2 linked regions of the Macaca mulatta genome follow. The protein of the gene in region 1 purifies or fractionates together with the protein of each later gene. This does not show direct contact. Links are inferred from orthologs where the notes say so. Each region holds a gene or a part of one and is shown on either strand. Other genes may lie near its edges. The genes, in order: EYA2 and ACAD9.

Evidence for each region.
Region 2: the proteins of EYA2 (region 1) and ACAD9 purify together in Homo sapiens (affinity purification with mass spectrometry; 3 studies listed by BioGRID and IntAct, with this or other methods). This does not show direct contact. The link is inferred for Macaca mulatta from reciprocal best matches to the Homo sapiens genes EYA2 and ACAD9.

Annotation. Positions count from the first base shown.
Region 1 is NC_133415.1:99,778,797-99,783,279, reverse strand, and holds the start of EYA2 (protein phosphatase EYA2), read right to left. Parts: upstream 2,952-4,483; 5' UTR 2,494-2,951; coding exon 2,489-2,493; intron 1-2,488. UniProt on the Homo sapiens protein: Functions both as protein phosphatase and as transcriptional coactivator for SIX1, and probably also for SIX2, SIX4 and SIX5.
Region 2 is NC_133407.1:155,070,876-155,074,686, forward strand, and holds part of ACAD9 (complex I assembly factor ACAD9, mitochondrial), read right to left. Parts: intron 2,462-3,811; coding exon 2,383-2,461; intron 839-2,382; coding exon 664-838; intron 1-663. UniProt on the Homo sapiens protein: As part of the MCIA complex, primarily participates in the assembly of the mitochondrial complex I and therefore plays a role in oxidative phosphorylation.

The sequences.
Region 1 (4,483 bases):
CAAGGCCGACTAAACACAGATTTAAGTCTGAGCAAAGTGCAGTCACCAAGAAAATGTGAAATCGTTCCTGTTTGGTGAACTTATCCTGTTCTGCCATGAGGATCTAAGAAGAAACTTTTCAAATGTCAGCGCACTCCACCGACTGATGAATGGATAAAGAAAATGTGGTATGCATATTCAGTAGAATATTATTCAGCCATGAAAAGAATGAAATCCTGTCATTTGCAGCAACGTGGATGGAACTGGAAGTCATTATGTAAGTGAAATAAGCCAAGGACAGAAAGACAAATATGGCATGTTCTCAACCACATGTGGGAGCTAAAAAAGTAGATCTCATGACGATAGAGAGTAGATTGTGATTACTAAAGGCCAGGAAGGGTGGTGGGGAGGATGAAGAGAGGTTGATTAACGGGTACAAATATACAGTTAGAAGGAATAAGACCTAGTGTTCAATAGAACAGTAGGGTGACTATAATTAACAATAGCTTATCATCCATTCCGAATAGCTAGAATAAAGAGTAATTTGAATGATGCTAGCATAAAGAAAAGATACATATTTAAGGTGATGAAATCCCAATTATGCTGCTTTGATCTGTACACATTATATGAATGCATCAAACGATCACGTGCACCCTGAGAATCCGTCCATCTATTATATACCAATAAAAAAAAACTAAACAAAACTGTAAAAAACTTCTCAGCACACAGTGAGTTTTTTGTCTTATGAACCACATTGTTTCATTATTGAATTGGAGGAGACCACGGAGGAGGGAGGCCAGTCTCTGGTGTTTGAGGCTGCTGAAGGTTTTAACCTGGCCCTGATTACATTGCTCAGTTTACGGATACTAGAAATAAAAACAGCTCACACTTACAGAGCATTTACTCTGAGGTTTAAATCTCTCTGCATGCACTGGCTCATTTCATCCTATGAAGTAGGTAGAGATAAGGAGACAGGTTCAGAGACTGACCTGGCCAGTTAGTGGTAGGGCCAGGATTCTCAACCAGGTGATCTGGCTCCAGATCTGTGCTCTTAACCACAGCTTGCAAATAGCTCTGGATCACAATTTCAACTCAGGGCCCATCGAGCTCTAAAGTCTACTAAGCTACCCAGTCAGAGCACCAGACCTGTTATCTGCTCCAGGGGTTCAAATCCCAGCTATGTCCTTGTCAGCGGTGTAACCTTGGGCACGTTATTTCACTTATCTGAGCCTCAGTTCTGTAAGATGCAGTAAATACTACCCTCCCCGCCAGGTTATTCTGAGGAAAATGAGTCAGAGAAGGCATTGGGTATTCAACAAAGGGCAGCCGAGATTATTTGCATTCACACAGACAAAAGCTTGAAACACACTATTCGTTTCATTCCAGGTAGACACTGGAAACTGTCATGAGGATCACCTGGAAACCACTGGTTCCTATTGTGGTTTGAGGGGCAGAGTTGAGCTCTCCTGCAATTTGAGGGGAAGGCTTCCTTCACATTCTCCCCACTCTCCCCACCTCACAATTACCTGAAATTGGAGACCAGCTTATTCTCTATGCAAGGGGAAGGAAGAGAGAACTCAGACAGCCTTCACGGAATCTGGGGGAGGAGAAAGACGTAGCTTCCCTTTCACGAAGGGAGGGAAGGGAAAGGAAGCAAAAGCATGGAATTCATTTACAAAAAAAAAAAAAAAATTCTTTCTTTGTTGCATTGTTGCAAAACCCTGATAGCCCGGCTACTTCAGAAGAGAGCCTGAAGGAGCGGGAAGAAAGGCATTCAAGCGCCCCCACCCTCTGGCCTCCTTGGCCTGCTGCTGCCTGCGGCTTGTGCCATTTGTTACCATTGTCACCACCCCTGTCCCTGGGGACTGGGAAGAAGTGGGGGAGCCTGAGAGATGACAGCTGGGGGGTGGGGGCAGGGGCAGCTTCAAAGGCTGGGAGGGATCAAAAGCAGATGGAGGGTCCCCAGCGGGTGGGCTGCTCACCTTTCCCCACCCCTGTGAGTGCACCAGCTACCTTGGCTGAGGACGGTGGCCCTGCCTGTTAGATGCAGAGGACAGATGGCCAGTCAGCCAAGGGGACTTTGGAGAGAGCCACTCCCAGCATCCTTCACGGGCTGAGAAATCAAAGCCTGCTGACTTCAATCACAGGCTTCTGAACAGACAGCAGCTGTGGCCCAAACCTGGACGTCTCTGGCAGCCTCCACCAGCCTCATTCAATTTCCATTCAAAATACCTCTGTGAATCACAAACCAGCTTGGCTTCCCCATTTCAGGGGGTAGTTGCTCACACCAAAAGCTCAGGATCACTCTTACTTCTCCCTCTCCTCCAATCCATCTCCAGGCCTTATAAAGTTCACCTCCACGGCCATCACCCAGGTCCAAGCCACCACCCTCACTGCCCAGGAAGACCACCGCAGTCCCCCTGCCCACCTCCCTGGGGCCACCATGGCCTCCCTCCAGTTTGTTCTCCGTGCAGCGAAAGACAGCATAAATGTGAACCTGCCCCCTCACCTCATCCTTGCTTATAACCTCCGACGGCTTTCCATTGCTCTTAAGATGAAGCGAAGACTTCGGAACATAGCCTTGATCTGGCTTCTCCTCACCCAATGTCTGATCCCAGCACACTGGCCTTTCTTTTGCTCCACGCTCCCTCTTGCCACAGGGCCTTTGCACATGCTGTTCCCGTTGCCTGGAACTCCCGTCCCTTCTGCTCACCCTGCAGAGGCCTCAGTTCCGGCAGGACTTCCCCAGGCTCTCCCTGAGTGAGTGATTTCCCTCCTGCAGCTTCCACAGGCCCATGGCCCTCTCTCACACACACCAGTCACTGGAACAGTTTTTACAGATGTTTGTGAGTTATTTAATTTCCCTAGGTCTCCCCATGACTCTCAGTCCACGTGGCTTGGCTGGGACTGACCCTACTAACAAGCTCGGAGCCTGGCAATTAGCATCTCCCATTCCTCAGTCTATAGTGATTGGCTCCAGGATGGTGGTCACGTGAGCCACCTGGGGCCAATGGGAGGCCCAAGATGAACTGCTGGAGAAGAGACGCTCTCTCCTGCTGCACACAAGTCCTGGAAGATGTCTACCTGGAGCCGTGGGCAGCCCCTTGCCTGCGAGACTGCAGACTGCCTTTGTGTTTTAATACAGGTGTATCACGCCCTAGGTGTTCAGTGTGAAAAATTAGAGTAGGAATCAGCTGTGGGTTCAGCCAGTGAAATTCAGCAGCTGTTGTCACTTCAACAACCTTGGGGAAGAACTCCACAAGCCACAAGGGTGTGATCACAAATCCCTCCTCCTGTCCACACCTCCATCCTCCTCTACCCTGTCTCCCTTAACATGGGGAAGGTGTCATTGAATAGAAGTTGTGGGACAGGGTTGCAATGCGTTGGGAACCATCTCCCCAGATAAATAATGCAAATTCAGTTTCTTTTGCAAAGGCTAGAAGGCAGATAAATGGATCAGGAACACAGGTGACACTAAAGCCATTCACTGATTCATTCATTGAGTCAGGCTGCCCATGATTTAGAATCACTGATGCTGTTTACGTAGCACACCAAAGAGCAAAGCTGCTACTCCTTCACTAATTGATTTCATCTTTCTTCCCCTTCTCCTGTTCTTTAAGGGCCTTCTTAGACCCAGGGACTGTCTCAGGCATTGAGGATACAGTGTCCAACCAGACAGACAAGTTCCTGCTCTCCTGAAGTTGGCATTTCAGGTGGGATTTGCCATCCAGACTTAGTGGGAATTCCTCAATGGGTGATCCCAACTAGTCCACCTGTGCCTCCTTCTGCTGAGATAAGAATTGCATGGCCCTTTCTCTCTTAAAATAAAATTTTGGTTGCCCAAATAACATCTAAAAACATTTGTAAATACATTTTAAAATTTCAGATAAGATTAGAGTCACATTGGGGCACTACCTCCCACCAGATGTATCCACAATTAATAGGATAAATAGCTTATAAACACAAACACCCACACATTCATTAAAATATACAGTATTGTTTTTACAAATGTGTTTTGTGAATGTGTTGTTGACCGCTATTGATCATGTACATCTTGTTCCAAGATGTTTTTTCACTCTAATAATAAAATACCTTGGTGTTCATTCCATGCCATGACAGAGATCTAGCTTATTCTTTCTCATTGCTGCATGGTGTCTGCAGGTATGTCTGTGTCACAGTTCACCTGTCCAGTCCTCAGGGGTCCCACGTTGTTGTTAGGATAATGAATTCCACAATGACTGGAGCAGGTCTTCTTGGGTGCACATACCTGGAGTTCTCTAGAAGTGATACCCCAAGGAAAGACTGCGGGCCCCCAGTTTAAAACCGTAAAACCCATTTGCATATCGCTCCTCAGAGTGGTGAATCCAATTTATACGCCCAGCGGAATGTCCCATGTCTTCATCCCTTGTGCTATTTTTACTCCCTGATTGGAAAGCTTTATCCAAAAATTCTCTTAGGGGCCAGGCACGGTGGCTCACGCCTGTAATCCTAGCACTTTGGGAGG
Region 2 (3,811 bases), on another chromosome or scaffold:
GATTGCCTGAGCTCAGGAGTTCAAGACAAGTCTGGGCAACATGGTGAAACCCCATCTCTACAAAAAATACAAAAATTAGCCGGGTGTGGTGGTGCACGCCTGTAGTCCCAATTACTTGGGAGGCTGAGGCAGGAGAATAACTCGAACCCAGGAGGCAGAGGTTGCAGTGAGCTGAGATGACAGCACTGCATTCCAGTCTGGGTGACAGAGAGAGACTATGTCTCCCACGACAAAAAAAGTGCTTATATGGCTTGGCTTGGCCCCTTAGGTGCTTATGATCTGCTCTAAGAACAAGCCCCCAGATGGACCTGAACCCAACCCACATCCTGAAGCAGGCTGCCAGGCACTGCAGACTGAGACAACTAAAGGCTGAGGACTGTAAGCTGAGCTCTAAGGTGGTAAGGTGGTCTGTCTGTTAGGGCAGCTACAGCAGGGGATGACCAGCAGGTCTTCAAGTGAGCAGCACTCAGCTGTGGGTACAAAGACAAAGCCCATGTGGCATTCTTAGTTTGATCTTTTTAAAATGCTTAACAAAAACTGAAAGTATTTAAATCTCATTTTATCTTGCTATTTGGACAGAGTCAAGGGCCAGTCTCCCCCTTACACACATACACACACACACGCGCACACACACACACACACACGCACACACGAGCTACTTACTGTTGGAGCCCCGAATGCCTAATTTATCTTCAGGTTTCCCATTAGTGACTCCACCAAAGTCTCTTTCTACTATGAATGCTGTGATTTTGTCTTTCACTGATCCATCAGAATCAACTACCTCAGTCTTTGCAAACACAGTAAAAATATTGGCCAGTCCTCCATTGGTAATCCAGACCTGAGGACAGAAAGAAGGACTTTGGAGAAAACCAAACCCCTATGTGACCCATCTCAGCTCTGTCTTTGTTGATCAGTCAGACCTCAGGCCAGACATGCAGGGTCCTTGGCTCTGCAGAAGCCAAACAAGCATGAGTGAACACAGGACAGGGCTCAGCCCAGTTTGCCCACACCAAGGATTTTCCCAAGGGACATGGATGGCCAGGGTGGAGGTGGAGGGGGGAAAGAACATCCAAAGTTGTCAAACAGCTCAGGTTCCACCGCCAGACAACTGCATTTCTTCAAGAAAGAAAGGGTTTAATCATTTCTTAAGGTATACATATATCAAAACATCATGTTGCACATCTAAATACACACAACATTTATTTGTTAATTCTAAAAAGAAATGAAAAAAGAGAAGGCAGGAGGGTGGTGAGGAGGAGGAAAGGAAACAAAGGGAGTTAGAGGCAGAAACAGACTCCTTAACAAACCGCAACAGATGGGACTCATGTGGATCTTAATTCAAGCACATAGTTAAACCAAAAAAAGGTATGAGGCAATCAGGGATATTTGAATGCTGATAGATGTAAGAAATTATCAGCTGGGCACAGTCGCTCATGCCTGTAATCCCAGCACTTTGGGAGGTCGAGGTGGGCAGATAGCTGGAGCCCCAGAGTTTGAGACCAACCTGGGCAACATGGTGAAAATCCATCTCTACCAAAAAAAATACAAAAAAAATTAGCTGCATGCCTGTACTCCCAGCTGCTTGGGAGGCTGAGGTAGGAGAATCACCTTAGCCCAGGAAGTTGAGGCTGCAGTAAGCCAAGATTGTGCCACTGCACTCCAGCCTGGGTGACAGAGCAGGACCCCATCTCAAAAGAAAAGAGAAATTATCAATTTTTAAAATGTGATAAGGATATTACAGCTTTGTTTTTATTTAAAAAAACAAACAAAACTCCTGTCTTTTAGAGAGGCATGCTGTGATTGTTACCATGCGATCTGGAGGTAGCAATGCTGCTGGAAGAGGCACAGTGGCCATGAGCAGGTGACTGCCGGAGTTGGGGCCAGCCAGGCACACAGAACATGTCTGAAATTTTGTGTAACAAAAAATTTAAAGATTTTTCGGGTTTACAGGCCGGGCACGGTGGCTCATGCCTGTAAACCCAGCACTTTGGGAGGCCGAGGTGGGCGGATCACTTGAAGTCAGGAGTTCAAGATCTGCCTGGACAACATGGTGAAACTCCATCTCTACTAAAAATACAAAAATTAGCCAAGAATGGGTAAGCCCAGCTACCAAGGAGGCTGAGGCAGGAGAATCACTTGAACCTGGGAGGCAGAGATTTCAGTGAGCTGAGATCACACCACTGCACTCCAGCCTAGGTGACAGAGACTCCGTCTCAAATTTAAAAAACTAAAAAAAATCAAAAACAAACACATAAAAGCAGCTCAAGAAGGCAGTCAGTGCTACAGCAGCAGGTACAATCCCTGGTGTGTGGAGAGTGCTCACTCAGTGGCAGTGAAGGTCGTGACTGAGATCCTGACGTGGCCATGGGGAAGGAGCCCTACCTTGGAGCCATTGAGGATGTAGTGCTTCTTGTCTTCACTTAGCGTGGCTCTGCTCTGGACTGAGGCTGCATCGCTCCCACTGCAGATGCAGAAAGATGTGGTCAAGGGAGAATACTGGGAATATGAATGCTTTTGAGAGCCTGAAAATGGAGGTTCTAGTACTTTTAAGAGGTCAGCGAACTTTTAAAATGAAGGGTCAGATAACATATTCAGCTTTACAAGCTACAGGATGTCTGTCTCACCTCCTCAACTCTGCTGCTATTAATAGAACATGAGGCCGGGCATGGTGGTTCACGCCTGTAATCCCAGCACTTTGGGAGGCTGAGGCAGGTGGTTCACGAAGTCAAGAGATTGAGACCATCCTGGCCAACATGGTAAAACCCCATCTCAACTAAAAATACGAAAATTAGCTGGGTGTGGTGGTGCATGCCTGTAGTCCCAGCTACTCAGGAGGCTGAGGCAGGAGAATCGCTTGAAGCCAGGAGGCGGAGGCTGCAGTGAGCCGAGATCATATCACTGCACTCCAGCCTGGCAACAGAGCGAGACTACATCTCAAAAAAAAAAAAAAAAAAAAAACATGAACACAGCTGAAGACAATTTATAAAACAATGGGCATGTTCCAATAAAACTGGGCTGGGCATGGCGGTTCATGCCTGTAATCCCAGCACTTTGGGAGGCTTAGGTGGGTAGATCACTTGAAGTCAGGAGTTCGAGGCCAACCTGGCCAACATGGTGAAACCTCATCTCTACTAAAAATACAAAAATTAGCTGGGCATGGTGGCACATGCCTGTAATCCCAGCTACTCGGGAGGCTGAGGGAAGAGAATCACTTGAAGGCGGAGGTTGCAGTGAGATGAGATCGTGCCACTGCACTCCAGCCTGGGTGACACAGCAAGACCCTGTCTCAAAAACAAACAAACAAACAAAACTTATTTATAAAAAACAGGCAGGAGGCTGGATTTAGCCGACCTTTGCTTCAATACATCACGTAAAAAAGCGGCAGTGAAAACAACTTGGGCTTAGGTTTAAACATGGAAATGGGTGCTTGCAATGGGCTCATCTGAGGTCCTGTGAGGATGAGTTGTGGGCACCCCAGGAAGGATGGTTGTTCCCAGGTTCCCACGCACAGTGAAGCAGGATGGAGGATGGTCCAGGTGATGGACTTATCATTGGAGTCCCGAGTCCTGCTGCAGCCCTGCTCCATCCAGCAGATCACACAGCCTCAATGAACCTCAGCTCCTAATGTGTAAGCAGGAACAGTACCACCCATGCTACATATTCTGAAAGGTGCTTTGAAGCCTGAACGTTATTACTGTATTGTACGTCAAGGTGTGTTATAAACCACAAAAATTTATTTAGTAAGTGCTGTCAAGCATGGTATCTCACTTGCAAGTCTCACTGGGACAGAGAAATAAGGTCAAGGTAAGAG